4 linked regions of the Oryzias latipes genome follow. The protein of the gene in region 1 interacts with the protein of each later gene in a pairwise test. Links are inferred from orthologs where the notes say so. Each region holds a gene or a part of one and is shown in the gene's direction. Other genes may lie near its edges.

Region 1 (5,723 bases):
CGTATTCTTGCGTCTCTGGTGAGGTACAGGTGGAACGTGTTGGGGTTCCAGGGCTCCCTGATGAGCTACTTCACCGAGCCGCTGTACTTCTCCAGCATCATCGTGGGCAGCCTGTACCATGCTGCGCACATGTCCAGGGCCATGTACGGCAGGATCGGTCCGTTGGAGGGCCTGCCGCCAGGTTTCTGCCTCAACCGGCCGCTGCTCAGCGGTGAGACAGATGCAGGAAACGCCCGGTTCTTGGGTCACGGCCTCCATCAAAGTTCCCTGACTTTGGTTCTGCAGGAATAAGTAACCCAGAGGCCCGGCAGCCCGCAAGAGCTCCACCCTTCAGCGAGAACTGGACTGCAGGTGACGACGATGTGGAGGTGATTGACTCCACCACGGGGAAAGAAGAAATGGGTGGACCGTCAAGACTCTGCAAACGCGCCTTTTACTGCCGCTGGATGCAGCTGCACAGCAGGGTGAGCAGATGCTGGCATTATGTTAGCTTTTATTTAGCTAAATAAGAAATTGGATTTGCTGAAAAGATAATCAGCTAAAAAAACAAAAAATAGTATTTGCTAATTTGCTAATAACCCAAATAAATATTTCCTTATTAGCTTAGTAGTTAATAATTGTATTTGCTATCAAACTAAGTAGCTAAAAAAAACAAATACTAGGCTACATCTAAATGATGCACTATGTAGCTCAAGCAGCATTCTGTACAGCTGTCCGAATCTACAATTTCAAAATCGAGAGTCCTGAAAATTTCCCAGAAGTCACTGCAAACAACCACTGTCCATTGATGCTCACCAGTATAAGTATAATATAGTCCACAATGCAATTTCTTCTTAACAATTTTTGTTGAGGGGGAAATAAATGTATTTTTTTAATAAACCATTAACGTTTTCAGTGGTTATATAAAGTCGTATAAAACGCTCAAATGAACTAGATGTTGGTGATGTCATGAACATTTCAGTTTGAGAGAAAAAAAAAGCATTTTTAATGATTTTGATGCTTTTCCACAACCTCATCCCAGACAGAAATACACACTTTACTTTCTAAATCTTTGTTTGAGGCCTCAAACTCCTTTTTTAAGCTATAGATGTGTGAAGCCTTAAATATGAGGAGGATCCTCTTTGGTCTGACAGCAGAAGTGAGAGTTTTTCTCCGTCTTCTTGTCCGTGTAGCTGTCCTCCTTCCTGCGGGTCTCAGCCCCGCCGCCCAGCAGCTACCACCAGGCTAAGCGGGCGGCCGAGGAGTACTGCTCCGCCAAGCACACGCTCTACAGAGCTTTGGCTGACGCTGGACTGGGCATCTGGGTCAAGAAGCCCGCAGAGCAGGACCGGTTCTCCCTGAGCAGCTCCTGACTCCTTTCAGATGAGCTTCCTGGTTGCCATGGAGACGGGACTGGCAGCAGACCCAGCAGTCCAAAAATGGATATCCTCAGTTTTACCTTGTTTCTGACTGACATGTGCAAAGTCTTCTGGCTGACGCAACAGCGCCACCTGCAGGAGGGGAGCCCTCGTACATGGAAATCATTCAGACCATTTGTTTATTAGGAGGAAAAAAGAATTAAATGTTTGATCTTTTTTATGTTCTGTTAAGCTTTGACGCTCAGATGTTGAAATGTTATAAATAAATGAAGAGGAAAAAAACGTGAGTGAGCGAAACAAATTGTTCAATAAAGTTGCATTAAAAAAAATCTTGTCTGTCATTGGCTTATTTTAGTGACGTCATCACGTACGGTTTGAATCTGAGCCCCAAACAGTCAGTTGTGTTCGTGGCGGGTTTTAAAGAGGATTTTTGTTGTTTTTATCCTGTTGAAGTGCTTTTCAGAGGTTTCTACGGAGTCCGGACTGGTTCGGTTCCTTTATTCGGAGAGTTCGAAACGGTGCCGAGAGTCCAACCGAACCTTTTCCACCGGCATTTCCACGGTTCTCATTCAGGAAAGCGGTTCTGTTCCAGGGGACTGACGGGATGTTGCAGGTGAGTCACGTGACACTCCGCTTGGTAACTGAAAACTGAGGAGGGAGGGGGGCTCAGTTTTCAGACGCGCGCGCGCGCCAGAGCACGAGCGTTTTCAGTTGAGTGGAGGTTGTTGGGGTTCAGAGCGGACATGCGGCCCCCGGGGGGAAATGGGACGTTTGTCTACCTGTGGACCTGCAGGCAGTTCCAGGTAGCGCCGCGGTGGGAACCAGGTGGGTCCCGCTTTGACCCGGGCGGTCTGACCCGGGTTGTGTGTTTGTGTGTGTGTCGCAGGAGCAGCAGGCGGAGTGGGAGCCGCTGAACCGGCTGCTGCAGCAGCGGGGCTTCCGGCCGGTGCTCTTTGCGGACCCCGTGGAGAACAAGAACCCTGCAGGTGAGAGCTCAGGTGATGACGTCACCGCCCAGCAGGAAATTCAACCCAAATGGTCCAAAGCTGCCTTTATTTGGTTAAAAACCCAGCAAATGCGGCATTATTGGGACTAAACAGAAACTAGAATCCATTTTTGGTTCTAAATTGATGATCTGGTTCCTGCCTGCTCCTCTGTGCTTCCAGAACTGGGCCTGCTGGACAGGAAGTCCGCAGCGGCGCTCAGGCGGACTCTGGAGACGCTGCTGGCGGACTCGGACAGGAGGCAGGCTCTCCTGCAGGAGCTGGTCGGGTCCAACAACCGGCTCCGGTGAGTGGCGCCCCCAGCTCTGACTGATGACCCCCCCCCCCCCCTTTGCAGCATTGTGGGGGTTCAGGTTTCTCTGTGGTCATCAGTGAGGTCTGGTCGTCTGCAGACCACCTGTCCTGTTATCCAATCCCCCGTCTGCTGTCCAAGCGTAACCGTGGCAACCGCATCTCTGATCCCATCCGATCACACAGAGGCTTTTATTTTGGTAAACGACTGGCGAACATCAGCTGAGGGGAGGACGGCTCCCTCAGGGACAATGTCTCTGTGAGATCCAGGATCAGGATCTCCTGTCAGGAACCGTGAGCTCTGACTGACAGACGGCAGAACCAACTTTTGTCAACTTCTGATCAAACATCCGCACTTCCTGTTAGACTTTTGTTTATCCTGGTTTTATGTAAAAGTTCCTTATAAAACTAAACCCATCAACTTTCATATAAACTCAAAAACATTTAAATTGGTTTAAAGAATATTTACATTTCTTTAAAAATGATGTATTTTTGCATGAAATACCGAAAAACTTTATTTATTCTACAAAAGTCTAAAAAGGTTAAAAAAAAACAAATACAGTTTTAATGATGGGAAATGAAAAACTATTATAGAAGGATTTCAAACTGAATAAAGTTCAAATTGAAATAACAAATGGTTTTAAAAAAATGAAATCAGGCATCCTTACTTTTAGGTTTTACTTGTTTTTTGTTTGCTTGTCAAATGTAACTAAAATGAAAAAATACTCGGCATGTTAATACTTTTTTTTTTTTTGTCATTTAGTATTTTATTGGTAATTTCTTGTTTGATAAATCCATGCTCTTATTTTGAAATATTTTATTGTATTTATGTATTTATAAATTTCAATGGATTTCTTAAATTATATATATATATATATATATACATTTATTTACCACCAGTTTTAACTTGTAGTTTAAAATTGATATTAAAATATATTTTTTACTACTTTTATTTACCTTTTATTCATAGTTTGACACTAAAATGATCAGAATCATCAATCAATCTGTAAATAATCATTTTAGTATTTTGAATGTCAGTTTTAGTTCTGTCCAGCAGGAATGAAGCCTTAAAAAAGGGGGCGGAGTCAGGAAAACAGAGGCTTTTCTCCTGTTGGTCTTTTTTTATTTTTATTTCTTTATTTTTTTTCTCCAGGGAGGAGGTCCAGGAGCAGATGAGTCGCGCCGCCCAGCACTCCCAGAGGGCCTCGGAGCTGCAGGCGCTGCTGGACCAGGTGAAGGTGAAGGTCCAGGACCTGGAGGACCGCTGCATCTGCAGGGCTGCGCAGACGCACAGCCGCACGCTGCAGCTGCAGCGCCACAGCGCAGAGGCCATAGTCAGTCCCTGATCTTTGCCTTCATTCATCTGACTTCCCAGTTTTCATCAAAAACCGTAGAAATTCAGCATAAAAAAAACAAAATTCAATGAAACCTTTTATTTTGAAATGCAGCTACTCTCCCAGTACTGCTGTCCCTCAAACAGATTTCAAAATAAGAGACAAATCAACTTCTACATGCCCCTCTGCCCCTGATACCCTGATCAGAGCTGCGACGTCATGAGATGTGACACTTTCCTTAAAAAAACATTTTTCACAATGGTGCTTTTTGGTTTGTTTTATCTCCATAGCAACCATTTAGTATTTCGATCGATTTTGTTTTTTAAACCACGCCCACATTCTTAATATATTCATATAGCTGATCCATGCTTAAATCAAAAACTTCTAGTTTAAAGGTTTTTTTCTTTTCTAGGAGTTTAAATGTGTAGCTGCTCCTAAAGATGATTTTTACGAAACATTCAAGATGGTGGTCTCTTCCTCGGGTCAAAGGTCAACAAACCTTCAGTTGTAGTCGTATAGGGAGTAAGCGAACTCTACTGTGTTCTTTTGTAAAATATTTTTGTCACTGACATGACGACTGTGAATATCCAGCAGTAGAATCGGTGACTCGACACTTTTTGCTTGGACCTCCCATTCCTGACACAAATGTACGCTGCTATGGTAACATCCAATACCCCAAATCTACGTTGTTTGGATGGGATTTGTTTACAAATGACGTACATTTTACGTTAATAATTATACCCAAATATTGCATAAACATTTGTCATTTTTTGTAGCAATGATCATATACAAAAATTAACTTTGGAAGAAAATTTTTAACGTTAAATATACTTCATAACGTCGATTTTAAGTATTTATTTGTTTGGGAAATTTGCTTACGAATAACGTAAATTTGATGGTATTTCAGTGAAATTTATGTTATTTGTTTGTAAACATTGCATACAATAAATCAAATAATACGCAGATATTTGGAAATAAACATAGGATAGAAATACATCAATTTTAATGTTGTCTGTTTGCAAATATCGAATAGAAACGACGTAAACTTGATCTTCTTTGGTTGCGAACCTCGCAAAGAAAATTACGTAAATTCTGTTATTTGAATGCAATCGTCCCAAATGAATGTCGTGAATTTTCTTTTTTTTTTTTTCAAATAAATTACGTAACTTTGATGCTAACCTAGCATATGAATAACGTAAATGCTGATATTGCGATGCGAGCCTAGCATCCAGAAATCCCTTATATGGTAAAGGAGTTCTGGAAAGTGGTTGGGGTCAAAGTGCGCAGAGCTTTGGTCAACAGACTGCCGTCTTCAGCTCTGGACCTGCGGTCCTTCCTCTGTGGTTCTGGTTCTGGGTTAAGGCCGTGTGTTTGTGATCCCTCTGTGGTTCTGGTTCTGGTTTAAGGCCGTGTGTTTGTGATCCCTCTGTGGTTCTGGTTCTGGTTTAAGGCCGTGTGTTTGTGATCCCTCTGTGGTTCTGGTTCTGGTTCTGGGTTGAGGCCGTGTGTTTTTGGACCCTCTGTGGTTCTGGTTCTGGTTTAAGGCCGTGTGTTTGTGATCCCTCTGTGGTTCTGGTTCTGGTTTAAGGCCGTGTGTTTGTGATCCCTCTGTGGTTCTGGTTCTGGTTTAAGGCCGTGTGTTTGTGATCCCTCTGTGGTTCTGGTTCTGGTTTAAGGCCGTGTGTTTGTGATCCCTCTGTGGTTCTGGTTCTGGTTCTGGGTTGAGGCCGTGTGTT
Region 2 (5,886 bases), on another chromosome or scaffold:
CGGGATTTTACTAACTTCTCGCTTGGTATTATCGCGAGAGTTGAGCAGTTCTAGATGTCTCTCGACTTTTCCACAACCATCAAGTGAATAACAGACCGTTCTGGTTCACTCCAGGTTTTAAGACATTTATGTTATTTTTTAAGTCGTTTTTACCAGTTCTGTCAACTATTATTCTATTATATAACTATTATATACAACTATTATATAAAATTCCTGAAACAGTGTTTTGTCTATTTTACTGATATGATACAGTATTATTTTTTATTTCACATCAATGACTTTTATAAGTAACATAATCTTCATATATTTTGGATACTTCATTGCCATGTTGATTTCTAAAAGTTATTTTTTACAAAATAATTTAAGTAATTCATCTTTGTCATGTGCTTTCTAGGAACCGGATATTGATAAATCATGTAATAAAATGGTTACAGTAGAACAGGGGTGGAATTATATAAATTCGCTTCCTTCCACTCCCTTTCAAGCAATACTTAATTTTATGTCTAATTATACTAAGTTTGATTAGTTATTTTATAAATGTATAACTGACGATTGGATTGTTTTTTTGTGTATTATTCCTATTTGATTGCTTGAAATAAACCATTTCAAATCAAAAAATCAAAAATTATTGTTAACTATACAAAACAAAAATCAATGTCTAAAGTAGCCTGTGTTTTTAGTCAAGAATTAGAAGGTTTTTCATATTTTTTATACCGTGCAATACTTAAAAAAACAGACTTAACACATGTCTAGACCAACTTGTTATTTTATTGCTGTATATTCACTGCCCCTTCTTATATAAATAAAATTCTACTGTACTCTAATCTTCAATAATACTTTTTGTTATTAAAACTTTTGTGATTTAAGCTTTTCAAAGTTAGCCTAAATAATGAAAATGATCTTGTCTACAATAGGCATAGATTTTGCTTTTTAAATTTTTTATTCAGAGCAAATAATAATTTTTTCGTAAGACAGTCCTATGAGAAAGCTTTTTTGTTTTATTTTTTTCTTTGTTAACATACATGGTAAAAACATTTGAAATAAAAAAAAAATAAACAAACGAATTGCAACTTTAATAAGAATATGCATTGTATTTATTTTTGTCAGAAATTAGCTAAATGATGATGATAATGAGTATGAGATTAAAACAACTGTAATAATAACATAAACAAGTACAAAAACATAACAAAACATGCAAGCAAAACTGCAGTACTTCAACCCAACTACAATAGTACAAAGAATGTGTATCAATTAATTAACTTGGTAATACTGGCATCATATTGAAATTGGCAGACAATTAGGTTTTAACGTATCTGTTTCATCTAATTCAAATATATTAATTTGTTAAAATTAGGGCTGCACGATATGAGGAAAACTCGCGATATGCGATATTGGTGATTAATATTGCGATAACGATATAATTTGCAGTATATAAACAAATATCAAACCAACCAAAAACATCATTTCCATTTCAATGCAACAGCATAAAAATTATACTCCAAATGACCCTTGTCGACATAGGAGGCAAACATCAAACATAAAAGGGCTCATTTGATTGATCAACAACGTAAACGAGTCCTTCCGATTGGTTAAATGCATAAAGGGATTTATTTCATTTATTCAATATTTCAAGCTGCCATGAGTTTGTTTTAGCACATTTAACCCTTGTGCTATCTTAGATGACCCCCCCTTACAGTGACGTGTTCTTCCTACCATGACAAAGGTGGATAAAGGTGGAAAGATTTCATGTAATCCATGGACACCAGTGAAGATCACAAATCCTAGAAGAAAAAAGGTTCAGAGCACTGTTTAGTGGGTCTAGATGACCCCACTCCCAATGTTAAAGTGCTTAGGATAGCACAAGGGTCAAGGTAACCATTTATTGCGATTTTGCCGTCTTTTGCGGTATGCATATTGCACAGTTTGATGTCGCGATAACGATAAATTTGCGGTATATTGTGCAGGCCTAGTTAAAATCCATATCAAAATGTTGAATGTACAATCTTGCTGCTGCTAAAAAAGAAAATACATTTTTACATGATTTTTCAGTTTATCTACTATTTTTAACACTAAATCTGAAAAAGTACAAACTTTAACTCATCATCTAGGTAGTTTGTATGTTTGCTTATTTCCTTATTTGTACTATTGATGTTGTAACTGTGTTGAATTATTAGAACCACTGAATATTATTTCTACTTAATAAATGCATTAAATTAATTTAACGCATTTATTAATAAGGAAACTATAAAGAATTTTTGTTATGAAAATTTCAAAAATAGTGGGAAAAAATGAACATGACCTTAAAAAGCTTTATCCGTTTTTACCACTGGGGGCGCTGAATACATTAACTTTTCCGGAAGCTCGTTGTGAAGAAACACCACAGAAGAAGTTGCATCAGATTTTAACATGGCTACTCCTATGCACAGAATAATTGCCAGGAGACAAGCGTGAGTATGTTTTCGTTATCACAACGTTACTGATTCCATACCAAATTTATGTGAAGACAACATATCGATAAACATAAATTACACTTTTTTGTTGGGTGCAATATCCTATAGAAGCGGTAAATAACGATTATTTCACTGTTTAAAAACAGTTAAGATGCTGCGCTTCTTCTTTCGCTGTTCACACTTGTTTTCCGCCATTAACGCCCCAAACTAATTATCGATACAACCGCACACGTTCCTGAGGATTTTAGTAGACATTAAGGGGCGGAAAAACTACATTTTGTTTGTGTACAATCTAATAAAGAACGAGCTTACTGCATAAAAGTTGGGATAGAATTCAGTAGTTCGTGAATCGTTGATGGCCTCACCGACCGTGTTATGTTCACTTACTTGGGTAGTAATCAATTAATTCAATAAAATTGGGTTTAGTAAGAATCTGACGCAGGAAAAAACAAAATTTTCAGGACTTTTATAAATCCTTTTCAAAATATGAGATTTTATCAGTATCCACTGTAATATAAAATATTGAATTTTTCTTTTAGTTTGGTTTGGTTTACTTATGCCAAAATTGTTTTATGAACCAAATGGATTTGTAGTGGCCTTTTTTAAAGTGGAAAAAATCAAATTAAATCTAATTGTGAACTTGGAAGCTACTCTGCCTCAATATATATCATCTTCATATTTAAAAAGAAAAATTCAGAGGTTCAACCTCCGTCACTAAGATCAATTACAAACATTTTCTTGTGAAAAACTATCAAGTATTTCCAGGTATTTATGGATTTGGCCCATTTAACGTACTCCTTTTGTAGTGTTGAATCTGAAACCTCTTTTTTTTTTTTTCTACAGGGAGGCAAACAAACAGCATGTACGATGTCAAAAGTGTTTGGAGTTGGGACACTGGACCTATGAATGTACGGGCAAAAGAAAATACGTCCACAGACCATCAAGAACAGTTGAGATGAAAAAGAAATTGAAAGAAGTCGAAAATAAACCACTAAGCATTACTGGGTAAGGTCACTTATTCTTTTCTTAAATATCCTAATTGTATTCTTTCTTAAATTTGAATTTAACCACAAGGGGGCACAATTCAATGCTTTCATGTGGCGAATCCCAAGTCTGTAAATGCTGGAGGTTGTGACTGTATACAATATGAAAAACATAACCAAATCCAAAAACGGAACCACAGACAGAACTGTTCTACCAGATTGGCTGTAGAGCGGTTGGTGAGGTGTGCTGTAGGTGTGACCGAAGACTTCAAGGTGGAGGTGGGACTGGACAATGGATCAGCTTGAACTCTTCATTGTTTGATGTGATGATGGACAGACTGACAGACGAGGTTTAGACAAGAATCTCTGTGGACTGTGATGTTTTCAGATGACACTGTGTTCTGTAGTGAAGGAACATCTAGAGAGGTGTAGGCTTGTTCTGGAAAGAAGAGGAGTGAAGGTCAATCTCAGAAGGACAATGAGGAGGATTCTGGTGAGATTACAGGGAGCCGGGGTGAAGAAGATGGACGACTTGAAGTATTTAGAGGTCAGCAGTCCAAAGCAACAGATTGAGGAAGGATTCAGATGTGATGTGTGACAAAAAAGTTTCAGCAAGAATGAAAGGAAAGGTGCAGAAGACAATGGAAAGAACAGCCTTAGTGTTGGTTTAGACTAGAGCAGGGGTGGGCAATTCCAGGCCACGAGGGCCGGTGTGTCTGCATGATTTCCAGATACTCTTGCCCTACTCATGGCTGATTACCTGGTTCAGGTGTGTCCAGCCAATCAGAACATGCCAGAGCAGGGTATGCTGGAAAACATGCAGGACTGCGGCCCTCAGTGCCCACCTCTGGACTAGAGCATGGTTGTCAGAGTCCAGGGGGGTATTCCAGGAAGCATGTTTAAACTACCCTGACTTTAAGCCTGAACTCTGGCTGAAATCCGCCTGAACTTGCTTACTCTGGGTATGGCGGTTCCAAAAGACCGGATATGAGTTGGCGTAATTACGCTCGACTGGGTAACCCTGGGTTACCGCACGTGCACAGCAGGTACATAAAGACATTCTCAATGGATCGCCGATATCCCAAGTCACCATGGAAACGCGTGGAGAACAAAAGAGAGCGCTATACTTCAGTGAGACGGAGTCTGAGATTTTAATGACGGCGTATGAAGATTATACGCCCATCAAAAAGTAACACGGCTGCATCAGCAAAAGAGAGTTTCTGCTTGGAGAAAAAGAACGGAGAAATAAACGCACAAGTTTCTGATCTTATTTAAAATGACATTGTGACGTATATAAATAAAACTTATCGAACTTAAAAAAATTGATTCAAATGGTAACAAGTGATGGAATTAAATTTATTCAACCTAATTTCTTACGTCTATAAAACTCTAATTGTTTTTAGAACTCAAATTTACATAGTTATCTAACTAAATGTCATATTACTCCAAATCAATTAAATGTTTTTCCATCTCAATTTATGGTACTTCTTGAACTCTCATATGTCTAAGTTAGAGGCTGCAGATTTTCTCATTTCTATAACATTAAAATGAATGACATGGTGTGAATTTACAATATATACCATGCCTTTAATTATCATGAGTCTGACTGTAACTTCAGTTCTTAGACTGCACTCTTGTACTAGTGCTGCTAAATAACCTCATCCTCCTCTCCCTCCCTCTCACTCATGGTGCAGAAAGAATTAAACATAACAGGATAAAATAACACAGTAAAACAACAAAACACATTTGGTCAAAAGAAAGGTGTGGATTCTGACACCCCTGGTTGAGAGACTCTGACAAGAAGAGCAAAGATGAAGATGTTGAGGTTCTCTTTGGAGGGAGGAGGATGGATTGCATCAGGAATGAAGTGATAGTAGAGCACATGTGTCAAACTCAAGGCCCGCGGGCAAAATGTGGCCCGCCGTGTCATTTTATGTGGCCCGCGAGAGCATACCACTTTTTCATTTCTTAAAATAAAAAAAGGCGTATAATTATTTATTTTTTGGAAATAAGTGTTGAGCTCCAATCTACACTATCGGATCTCAAAGACAAACCCATCTCTATTGAGCTATTAGCCCCTTTATAATAATGAAACGATTCAGCTGGGTCGTCATTCGGAGCGGGAAAGTGAGAGCGGAGCAGTCCATCAACTGACTGACTGACTGACTGCGCTGGACACTTGTCTGCCCTGCATGCCGCATGACTCCCAACGAGAAGCTGATTGCGCAATCCGCTTTCCAGCATTGAGCCCAATTAATTTGAACGCGCAGAACGTTGAACATCGCACACGAGTCATCCCCCTTTCCTCTCCCCACAATCACGGTGCAACAAAAGAAGCAAACATAACAGGAAGAATTAACTAAGGGTGGAACAACAAAACTGATGGATGGAAAGAAACGTAGGCAACAAGAAACACCCATTCTCAACCCTATTCTGACCAGTGGACCGCATCC
Region 3 (5,751 bases), on another chromosome or scaffold:
AAAAACTCTTTAAAAAGCCAAAGAAATTATGAAGGTTGAAACGAAGGGAAAAAACTACACAATAAATAATTTTTGTTAGCATGTATCATCATCAGCCAGTATAACTAGAGTAAATTTTCAAATTATGTCTTATAGTAGCAACTTCTAACTTCAGCCTTTAACGTTTTGAGTTTGCATTGTGAATCATGCTAGTTTTTGCCTGTTTGTCTCCTGATGATGAAGTGCTGGGAAACTCGTGTGGGACAGGAGATGTATAAGCTGACACTGTTTGACCTCCTCATTAACATTGCTGTGCTTGTACTGGTCGAATTTCCACGCAGGTACTGTGTTTACCTTTTAAAAATGAGATGCTGTCAGTTTGAATCAGGTTTGCATCTTAACATTTTTAACTGTGTGTTCCCTAACGTGGGTCTTAGGATGGTGGTCGACAATTGGTCCAGTAAAGTCTCTCAGCTGGTGGGCCGGCAGGAGTTTGTTGTTTCTTCCAATGTTCTGGGGCTGGTCTACAGCCAAACGGTGGTCTGGACTGGAGCCTTGTTTTGCCCTTTGCTGCCCCTCATCAACACTGTAAAGTTTGTGATCCTCTTTTACTGCAAAAAGGTGAAATTCAGCTTCAATAGACAGAATGTTTCATCATACTCATTCCTTTTTGATAATCTACTTGTTTCTATTGCCACTTTCCTAAACAGATAACACTGTTCTCCAACTGTCGGCCACCCCAAAAAACGTTTCGCTCCACCACCTCAGCCTTCTTTTTCCTGGTGGTACTGCTCTTAGGCTGGATGCTGGCCTCAGTTGTCATGATTTACAGCATTGCTGTGTGAGTGTGGATGTTTCTTGGTAACATAAATAATACAATTATTTTTCCTACTGGTCAGAAAGTCAAAATTTGGCCAATTTGTCGCAATACAAAAAAGGCGATGGCTTTGTAGAGATTTATGAAATTATGTCTGAGTGACGTTCCGTGTCTGTCCATACAGGATCCATCCTTCTCGGGGATGTGGGCCTTTCCGGTTCTCTGACAACATGTGGTTGATTATACCGACATCTTTCTACAACCTCTCTGCAGCCACACAAGAGTTTCTTTTCTTCATTGGCTCACAGGCGTTTACAATCCCCCTGTTTTCATTATCGGGGTAAATCCATTTTCATTTTACATGAAAATCATTGAACTGTCTTGCACTGTGCAGATATAGATGATATTTTTCTTTGAATGCCAGTTGATTCTTTACCAGCTGACTTGTTTCTCCGTCATAGTTTGGTGATGTGCTACGTCATAGCTTTGTTCTCCATCTATGGGAAAAGTGTTGGACTGCTAAGACTGCAGCTCAAACGGGTAAGTTGATGGTATCTAAAGCAGTATACTAAGAATTGGCCATGAGTTAACAAAGATTTTTTTCAATATTTCCTTTTTTACTTTAACTAATACAGGGTCTGGTCTTTTTTGTTTTTACAGGAGAGCCGGGATAAGCAGTTCTTAGTCAAGCAGATTGAGGAACTAAGTCGGTAGATGACCAAGATACCATTTGATAGATACATATATATACTGTATCTACCACTACAAGACTAAACAGCCTCTGGACAATGTTTAGTCTCTGCAGTACAGTAACATGAGACGATGTCATAAAGAAAGGATGTTTATTAAAAAGAAAAAAAAAGCTTCATATTATATATACATAGTGAAATTACACCAGATTCTTTCAAAATAAAATGTTAAAAATGTTGCACATTAAACATCACTGTTCTTTAAGCACTTTAAAAGTGATCATTTAAACAGGTGTTTTGATCATTTTTGGATATAGACTTTGCAAAGAAATGCATGTAAAAAAATTGAACCTCTAATACTGTTTTAAAAAAACAAGACAGTTGGACAGTGTTTTTGTTAAGACGAGAGCAACCAAAAATAATTGTTTATTTTTGACCCTTTTGAGACTACGGTATGTATTCAAACTTTTTATATTCTTTTCTTTAAATGTTGTGATTTATTTGTATTTTTTTAATGAGAAGTCCTTCGTTTGCTGTTGTTTTTTTTTTTTTTTATTGCTTTTTAAAGTTTAGTCTTGCTCGCTTATGACCATTACATTTATTTCTTTTGAATAAACCAGTTGGCGCTCGCTCCAGCTCCATCTAACGATTCTTCTTTGTAATTGCTTCAAGAGTTGTAACTTTTTTTGTTTACTTCCTGTTTGGGTCTACTACTTCCGGTGGACCACAGCAAACCTGGAATAGATGAACTCTCCAAAAAGTCGGACAGATTTGTTTGTTGTTAGACCTTAGGATATTAAAAAAAATAATACTGTGCTTTTAACGAGCCAGGTTTGCCGTCATGAATGCTAACTTAATGTAGAAAAAATGTAAGCTAATGTTTTAAAATCTAGACAATTGCGCAGATTTTTTGCTAATTTCTGCTTTACTAATCATATCAGACTCAGTCACCTGGCTGATTCGCGTTCCATATTGTTGTAGATCAAAGGCTCGGGTCTGTTCTTCCTCTAAATTTTGAGTTAGCTAACTGCTAACAGTAACACCATCATGAATATCCTTCCGAAGAAAAGCTGGCATGTCCGCAATAAAGACAATGTAGCGCGCGTGCGAAGGGACGAAGCCCAGGCTGCAGAAGAGGAGCGCGAGGCTAAACGCCGCGTGGAGCGCGCGGAGCAAGAAGTATGTTCAGTTTTACCGTTCGTTTTTTGTGTTTACATCTGTCTGTGTTTCGTGCTGGCAGAGTATACGTTAACAGATCACGTGACAGTTTAGCTGGTTCTGAGCTGAAAATGAGTTGGAAACCTCTGCAACTGAGTAGATTATATGTATTTTTTTCCTTTCCTTTTGGGGGGTTGTTATTCACAAATCATATACAAAATTGAGGTTTGAACACTATCATTAAGAAAGTGTGTTGTTCCATCGCTAATATGGAGCTGATGTTTATTTTTTATTGTGTTGATAATCTGAAATAGATTCAAACTTCATAACATGCAAAAATTGTCATGGTTTGTTTCCACAGGCGCGAACAGAATATCTGAGAAGAAAGGCCCGAGCTGGTCTCCAATCAGTGGAAAGCACAGGAGATGATGGGAGTCAAAGCGGAGGACATGTGGAGCATCTCAATCTTTTTCCTTTGGAGGAGTCTTCAGATAAGAAGGGGAATGAAGAGTATCTCAAAGAGAAGAAGGAGGAAACGGTGATTGTGCTGCTACTTCTGTTTATATTCTGAAAATTACAGGTTTATCTGAGTAAACACTCACTAAAAATAATTTAGGAAGTCCATTTTATGGATTTTTTCTTTTCATTTGTTGTAGGAGAGGAATGGTGTACAAATCCCAGGAAATTGATTGTCTGATCCAGCACAGATTAACATCTATTTTTGTTTGTGTGCATAAAATACTATAACTATTGTGTTTTTCATGTTTGAAACTCTCATTCTAATTCTGCATTCAAAGAATGAACACTTTTAACAACCAGACTGCATTTGCTTGACAGTTAGTTTTCCCTTGTTTATCACGGGAGTTATCTTCTAAAAATAACCCACATCAGGTGAAATCCACAAAGTAGAATTCGAGATGTTTTAAGGCTGTAAAACGGAACTTTGTTTCATGTTTAAACTCTTAAAGTTCAAACATTTGTAGTAAAATAAGTCATGTATTATAGAATAAAACAAAAAAATCTGTTTGTGGTTGAAGATTTAGATATTTGGCAAGCTAAACGCATTCTGTACAGGAGACACCGCTTGGAGGAAAGTACTTGACAAAGTCTACTACCAATCAGGATGCAGAACAAATTGAGCTGTTAAAAGAAATCAATGAAAAGAAATATGAAAAAAATCAGCGAGAGCGTGAAAGATATAGCGAGGGACCACTGTACTCAAAAGAAAAAAAACAGGTTGCTCATCTACAAGTTGCAAATGAGTAGCACTCTGCAGCTTTTTGTTGATTTTTAAATCAGTAATGCTAATTTAAAAAGGTAAACATCCACTTTTCCCCACCTAATACACTTGGTTTGCTGTGGTTTCTTATTCTACAGTGGCAAAAACGTGCAGCTGGATCTCATCAGACTCTGTCAGGATTTTTATTTTACCAGGAAGTTCTGATTCTACTTTTATGCAACAATGTTCAGTCATCTATTAGAGAAGGAAAAATGACACAAAGAACAATTTGCATGAAAAGGCAATGGAGTTTATTACAGTTTTTTTTATTCTCCAATACAATTATTTGAAATGGAATATTTTAAATATTGATCATAGCTACTCTGGTTTGTCCAGGAGAAGCAAGAGCGAGCCATCGGCCTGCTTGTTTCTTTAGGCCCCCAACCAGGCACTGAGGTGACTCCATGGTACATGCAAAGCAGCGCAGAAAAAGAAGAAGAAGAATCGGAAAAGAGGAAGGGCATAATTGAAGAGGAAAAGGCGAAGAAAGACCGCAGGCTGAAGGAAAGTTTGGATCCTTTGAAAGATATGAAGAAAGCATTGGGGGAAAGTGAAAGGAGGCACCACAAGAGCAAGAAAAAGGAAAGAGGAGACAAGGGAGAAAAGAGGAGCAGTGGGGAAAGGTAAGAAAGACTTTGGTTGCTTGAATGTCCTTCTAATGATGTTGATTACATAATAACACTGTTTTTTTATGGTGTTTTCTGTTTTTTTTTTGCCTTTTCAGCTCCATGGAAAGATTGCGTGCTGAACGCTTACAAAGGGAAGCTGAAGAAAGGAGAAGAGCCCAGGCTTTGCTTGAGCAGAGGAGTGGGAAAAGGAAGGATGCAACGCGAGAAATGGACGACAGGGACCGGCCTTACAACAACGCTTACTTCCCAGAAATTGCCCGAAAACGACAGAGGCGAGACAGAGAGAGCTGGAGAGATGAGATTCTCAAATCTTGAGTTTCATTATTCTGAACATTTTACAATCAGATGGTTAGGATTCCCTATGACTTTTTTTTTTTCATTTGTCCTGTTCTGTCCATAAAAGGAAAGTCTTGCAGGAACTAGAGGTCATGTCCAACAGCAGTTCTCTCCACCCCCGCCGCCTTTTCACTCATGAGCACATCAGCAGGGCAGATGGCTGCCATCACAGGGGGCCTGAAGCACAGGCTGTCGAGAAGAAAAACCCTAAACCACTGCTCGGCTGGCTTACATCATTGTAAAAATGGACAAGTTTGTGCTGAAATCATTCATTCCAACATGACAAATCAATAAAAAAAGCCTCTTTTACATTTTAATAACTGTTTAGATGCTTCCTTTAGTCAATATTGAGGTTGTATTTGAGCCACAACACAGTTTTGTCCTAAAATGTGATTTAAAATCTTTGTAGGCTAGTTTTTTTTTTTTTTTTTTTTAGTTGTGAGGTATAAAAGGAAAATGCAGTTCTTTGTGAACATGTTTCTGTATGTTTTAGAAAAAAGATTTACAGACTTTCCAAATAAATGGATGACATGGATCTGGAAAATGTCACCTTCTCTGTTCAGGATCCAGGTACGGCATTTCTCTCCGAGTCACACTGGTTGAATTTTAAGATAAAGATGTCCTGGATTGATTTTAGGCTGGTGAATCGGATCAGTCAAAATGAACCAATATGGACCATGAATCACATCGTCTGCCACAAAATACATTAAAGAATTGTTAAAAGGAATCATTACACTTGTAGTTTTAGTGCTTTTCCATAAGGTTTTCTGAATGAAGATTTTATTCTATTGCAGCCCATTGTGACTGTTGTATGAATAAATGAATGTGATATATTGTCTATATAGTTCTTTATTTTCTAATCAA
Region 4 (5,760 bases), on another chromosome or scaffold:
ATTGATTATTGCATTACAGTAACATTACCCTAATGGATTACCACATTATCTTACTAACAGCTTTGCCAAGAATAAGAGTAAACATGTCAGATTTTCTCCTGGAAAAGTCCTGCAGGTGTAAGCATTTTGTGGATGCCGTTGGGAAACCGCTTGTTGCTCAGTAACAACTGAGCCGACTGCTGAAATGACTAAACTGAGTAAATCGCCGTCTAAAGCACTGTACAAGCCTGGAGAGACAGCAGTGAGTCACGACGGAAAGTCGTCCTGAAAATAACATCTTGAGCAGTGAGATCAGAGATTGCATCCATGTTGGAGAAAACTTGCAGCAGTGTTTAAAAGTCAAGGCAGAACAATCCCAAACGCACAGCAGCTTCAAAACACAGAGAAGGTGTCACTTTCATTGAGAATGAGAATCGTACCCTATCTGGGAAAAAGGACAATCCGAGTCCAACTTCCTCAGCAGAATAATGGAAACATCAGGTTAGGAAGAGGTGACCGGATGATTTCATCTCATGTATTGCTTATATTATGGAGCCTGTTGAGGTGCAGTCACAATCTGGGATCTGGGCCTGTAAGGTTCAACAACACTTTGTCAAACATGAATGAGGAAATTTTTCCTTTTTTTTCCTGAATGTGCAGATATTTTTCCAAGTTTCAAGGAGTATTAAATGTCACTTTTGCACCACAGAGCTAAAACATAGATCGGCTTAGCATCATTGAGATGTCCTTGAGATAAACCTAAACCACAGTCTGACTCAGACATTAACAATTCAGCATCCAGCTTTAAAATGTGCCTGTGTCATCTTATCTTACATTTTACTTTTCAGTAGGAGCAAAATAAGAAGAATTGGAAGAAAAACAAGTTTGGTGCACAAGAAAAAGAAAACATAATGTTATAGAAGTAAGTAAAGAATTTAGCTCATAGCAACACAAGAGGCCCAAACGCTGAACCCTGAAGAACACCTCTAATCAAGAATCACAGAAGGATTGAGAGAAGGCCTGGAGTGACCTTCTTAATCTGAGTGTATGTTTATTTATTTAGATTTAAATTTCTAAAATGTTAAAAAATAATACATGTGTGTTCCTATAAATAGCATGTAATGTTTTTTTTTATTACTACAGGATTACTGGAATGGTGGATTAACAAAGCAATAAATAGAAGTTCCAACCTCTTTCCCCTATAATTAAACTCTTTATTTGGATAAATTGTAGCTTTTTAAATTACCTTTCCTCATTCATTTTTAGTTTACTTTGGGTAATTTATCTAGACTACCATTCTAAAATAATTATTTATATTAATGACTTAAAGGTTAAAGATTTTACATGGTACTTCTCTTCTCTCTGTTGCCCAATTTAGTTTTCTTCTTCTTTTACTGTTCCAATCTAATAGAAATAATAATGAAAACTGTTGACATTTCAGGGGCTCTACATAAAATGAGAACAGTTTGGGATAAAAGATGACCAAAATCTTTCTATTTGTTCATTTATCCATTAATTTAATTACTGTTAAGCTAAATCTATATATTCCTACTGATGTAAAGCCACTTTGGATGAACTAAAAACAACTACCCACTGTAACTCTTTGTTTATCCCCCAATATTTACATAAAAGGCATCTTATTTTGATGTGAATTAACTTGTGGTCCTGTTGGCTGCACATATGCATCACTAACTTCAGCCTAAAACGCAGTTTTTAACAGTATTTATCCGTTATTGTCCTCTATGGCCTGCTTTTGACTGGGTAACACAGGACAGTCAAATCTCACACTCACGTCTTTGGGTGCAAGGAATTTGATCACATTTAATCCGTTTTTGAAAATAGATATCTGCCTTTTGACGTGACTTGTTTTTATTTGCATCTGCTTTTGAAAAATCATTTGCACATTTCAGTGTAAAGTCTGGAAAACAACGCAATGAATACATATGTGTGTGTGTTTACTGCGAGAGCTGCTAGCAAGCGTGCAGTGAAAGCAACACTTGTGCTGTGGTATTAAAAATAAGGAATATATTAAAAAATGACGAAACTATGTGACTCAAACGGACATTTTTATTGAAAACAATCATTTTTGGATAATGAAGTTTCGTGCTATGAACTTTCATCCACATTTCCGCTGTACGGGCATTTGCTGTTACTGACAGCCGTGCCAACCAATAGCAATCCTCGAATTCAAGTTTTGGCCAATAGGAGCGCAGGGGGCGGATGTTATCGGTCGTTGGTAACAGGACAAGCAGGTAAGTAAGATTTTGCCTTGTTATTTTCTTAAAATTATCAAACACTGTGCTTGTCAGGAAAAAACACTCATGTGGTTTAACCCTTGGACGTTTGATCAGAGTAGGTTCATTTTTTATGGTCACTTTTCCGACAGACGTGCACGAAAACGAGAGTCATTGAAAACTCAGTGAGGGATCGGGAAGCAAACAAGCTAACGTTTATTAGCTTAGCCTTGTTGTAGCTGGTTAGCCGCTATTGGCCAGTCTCTCAGCGCTAGCAGCAGCAGCCGCCGTTTATTGTGTTTTAGGAAAAGAAAAATCTATGACAACTCCTTCACTGAGGCCGTGCTCATTAATGGAGCTGCACTAGTTGCTTACGCTTGAACTTTCGAGCCCGGTGTTTTCATTTCTGAGCATGCAAAACTTTTGCTCCTATATTTTCCGCAACAGTCTTGGTGTAGTAGGTAACGTCAGGCTGCTAGCCTTAGCTTACTCTGTTGGATTACGATACTGAACTGATGAGTGGTACAAACTTTATGACTTTGTTTCTGATCAGGAGAATACATTACAAACCAGTTCCGGATTGAAGATGAAAATAACTTTATTAGTCAAAACTTGCCCTTGTTTTCAAATGGTCTCGTGTTTTTTCTTTTATGTTATTTACTTGATCTAATGAATTAAAATGAATGCCGTACGAAACCTTGTAAAGATAACAAAAAATGAAGGGGAAACATGGAAACAAACAAAACCGGTTCGTTAGTGCCGCAGCAGCTTTAAACAGTCAAACTTTTGGGAAACCAAACTAAAGTGATTAAGTAGTTTGTATACAACATATATGCAAGTGTGATTTTATATAAAACAGATCAAATGCATCAGTAAACATGTACCCCCCCCCCCCCCATGTGTTGTAAAAAGAAATATAATTATTAAAACAAAAAAACAAAAATCAACAGAGCAAAACGTTAGCAAAAAAAAAAAAAAGCTATCAACTCCTTAAACTGTATAAAAATTTCTACAGCTACTATTTGTAAATAGATTTTTTCATACAAGAATGTTTACACAGATTAAATATATTTTAATACCTATGCTCTGAAGCTCCCCGGCTGCTGAAATGCCAACATGGTAGATCTATTGCTGTTTGAAGCAATGCAACCTGCTGTAAAACATCACAGTTGCTATGATCACATCAAGCTGTTGTTTCTGCATCACCCGCTGCTTTTATTTTTAACCCTAAAGAATAATTGAGCAAATTAATTTGAGATTGAACCTTTTAGGAATTGGCGTCCACATGCGTGGGCGTCACATTTCTGGTTTTCTTACGGCAGTAGTTAATTCTGCTTAACTGGGGTCTTGTGACTACAAAATTTAAAAAAGGCGTATTGAACAAAAGCTTTAGTCATAAGAAATTAAAATATTGAAGAAGCTAAGAAATGAATGCATTTGAATGCAAAAGAAATTCAAAATGAAGTCCATCTGAATCCGCTTTAACAGTAAATCTCTCTTCTTTTTTTTTAACAGCATATTGTATGAGAATGAAGCAGCAACAAGACACATTACACTTCACGCATTACATTAACACTGTGATTTCAGTAACTCAGTTTTTTATGTAAGGTATTTATGACGGTAACTATATAAACAGCAACCAGAGGGTTCATTTCTTTTGATGTAGCTATACAACTTAATGTGCTTTAATGGAAATCAGAAAGCTTTCACATCTTTAAATCAAAGGTTAAAATAAAAAATCCTGAAGAAAGGCTCATTTCAAAAAGTGTTACAGTTGTCTCCTTGCACTTTTCGCAGTGCCACAAATGTTTAGAGTTTAATGTTTAGAAGGATAGTTTAGGTAAAGCAGCCAGTATTATTTTCCTACCACGTCATGCTAGTGCTACAGTATGCAGAGCAAAGAAATGTACATCTTTGAATCGGCACATGATCAGACTCTTACCAAAGGATTTGGACTTGAAAACATTTAGCATCTAACTTTTGCAGTGAGGTATAAAGTTAATAATATTAAAGTTAACACACCTTCATAAACTGATGCACCTCATCTCTGCTTTTTAAAAACCTTCCTCCACTAATAAAAAATACTGTTTTAAATTCCCCTTTGTGATTAAAAAGTAGTTTAATGTGGAATTGGAAAATATGTCTCGTCTTTTCTCATTAACTGTTCTTTTTACTTGGTTTCAGGCGTCAGGTGGGACTGGATTATGACCTTTTGGATTACTGAGTGGATTATACCAACAATGGAGTTACAGGTATTTCTAAACTCTTTTTCTTCTTCTTTCTTTAAAGTGTTCACTAAAGCAAATGGGGATTGGAGACCCATTCTCTGGAAGATTTGTTTTTTTTATGGATATAAGAAACTCAAATGAGTTGAGTGACTCTGGTCCAGGCTCATCTCAAAGAGGTTGTTCAGAACCAAACTGTTGACATGCTTTGCATAAGGAGAATTACTGGACGTCATTGGAGTTTTGTGGAGAATGTGCTGGAATCCACAGGCAGATATCAGGACAAGCTAATAGATTTGGTGTCTTTAGATGCAGTGGTAGCCTGATTGACATTTTCCATGTTAGCCTAGAAAAATGCACTCTGACTCTGACATTGTTGCTTTTGTTTAAGGTTTGGGGTCATTATTTTTCCCCAACAGTCGTTTTCTAGGTGGTCTCTATCTATGAGTCTCACATGCGCGCACACGGACGCTTAAGGTTTTAGGAGGCAGAGCGGATACAACTCAACATAGTAAACATCTCATGCTTAACAAGACATCCATGGGAAAACCTGCTGGAGCACAGGAAGTGATTAGGAGCTGTTTATTTAAATGACAGAAGATAAATGTGAGAATGTTGGACCAAAAAAGTCACAACATGTAAAAAAGAAAAAGGAAGCGCTAGCTAAAGATGAAAAACTGCGTTCCATCATGAACTTAGTTTGTGAAGGATAAATCACTTCAATCATCTTTTGATGTACTTTCAAAGCATTCCCAGTGGTCTTTTCATTATGATTAGGCAGTTTTTAGCCAAAATCAAGAAACCTGTGTCATTTTCTAAGACGTAGTTTCTGCACAGTGGCAGGAGTTTATCAGAAATTTGTCCGAGTTGTGGGCTTTTTTTCATCTGCTCCTGATTCACAATGATTTGAAATAAAGAAATACTAATTTATGTCCTCCATCATCAGAAAAATGCTACAAGAACACATTAAAACACCAAAAACACAATTTTCATCAGTGACTTGTTTTAACTTACCACAGGAAACAGTTCTGTTTAAAAACACCTAAGAACTGAAACAGTAACAGATCTAAATTTAAGTGCTAAATTGTAATTATACTAAAAAAAACATTAGGAGAGTGATAAAGACTGGAATAATGTCATGCTCGAAGTGCAGTGAAAATAACAGAAAACTTTAAGTTTACATCAAAATAAAATAAAACCAACATGGCGCAAACACATTGTACCTAAAAAATAACTTTTTAATGAGGTGAAGATATTAAATTTCATAATTAGTTTCCCATTTTGATCTAAAACAATGTTACACCACAAGTTTTGGTTTAAAA

The links. The genes of interacting proteins can lie anywhere in the genome.
Region 2: the proteins of cep70 (region 1) and zcchc10 interact in binary tests that used the Homo sapiens proteins (3 or more experiments, as listed by UniProt). The two-hybrid records come from large-scale screens. The link is inferred for Oryzias latipes from reciprocal best matches to the Homo sapiens genes CEP70 and ZCCHC10.
Region 3: the proteins of cep70 (region 1) and leng1 interact in binary tests that used the Homo sapiens proteins (3 or more experiments, as listed by UniProt). The two-hybrid records come from large-scale screens. The link is inferred for Oryzias latipes from reciprocal best matches to the Homo sapiens genes CEP70 and LENG1.
Region 4: the proteins of cep70 (region 1) and KAT8 regulatory NSL complex subunit 1 interact in binary tests that used the Homo sapiens proteins (3 or more experiments, as listed by UniProt). The two-hybrid records come from large-scale screens. The link is inferred for Oryzias latipes from reciprocal best matches to the Homo sapiens genes CEP70 and KANSL1.

Annotation. Positions count from the first base shown.
Region 1 is NC_019860.2:1,159,508-1,165,230, reverse strand, and holds the start of cep70 (centrosomal protein of 70 kDa), read left to right. Parts: upstream 1-1,710; 5' UTR 1,711-1,962; coding exon of another isoform or gene 1,963-1,971; 5' UTR 1,972-2,101; coding exon 2,102-2,161; intron 2,162-2,244; coding exon 2,245-2,344; intron 2,345-2,524; coding exon 2,525-2,648; intron 2,649-3,806; coding exon 3,807-3,987; intron 3,988-5,723. Other genes in the region: double-stranded RNA-specific editase 1, read left to right, coding at 30-211, 286-464, 1,173-1,352.
Region 2 is NC_019872.2:6,665,579-6,671,464, reverse strand, and holds the start of zcchc10 (zinc finger CCHC domain-containing protein 10), read left to right. Parts: upstream 1-2,328; 5' UTR 2,329-2,406; coding exon 2,407-2,447; intron 2,448-3,293; coding exon 3,294-3,455; intron 3,456-5,886.
Region 3 is NC_019874.2:19,389,607-19,395,357, reverse strand, and holds leng1 (leukocyte receptor cluster member 1), read left to right. Parts: upstream 1-2,193; 5' UTR 2,194-2,532; coding exon 2,533-2,664; intron 2,665-3,004; coding exon 3,005-3,181; intron 3,182-4,258; coding exon 4,259-4,545; intron 4,546-4,646; coding exon 4,647-4,866; 3' UTR 4,867-5,431; downstream 5,432-5,751. Other genes in the region: tmc4 (transmembrane channel-like protein 4), read left to right, coding at 223-320, 417-600, 690-820, 981-1,136, 1,258-1,336, 1,457-1,510.
Region 4 is NC_019877.2:19,819,114-19,824,873, reverse strand, and holds the start of KAT8 regulatory NSL complex subunit 1, read left to right. Parts: upstream 1-2,202; 5' UTR 2,203-2,231; intron 2,232-4,397; 5' UTR 4,398-4,465; intron 4,466-5,760. UniProt on the Homo sapiens protein: Non-catalytic component of the NSL histone acetyltransferase complex, a multiprotein complex that mediates histone H4 acetylation at 'Lys-5'- and 'Lys-8' (H4K5ac and H4K8ac) at transcription start sites and promotes transcription initiation.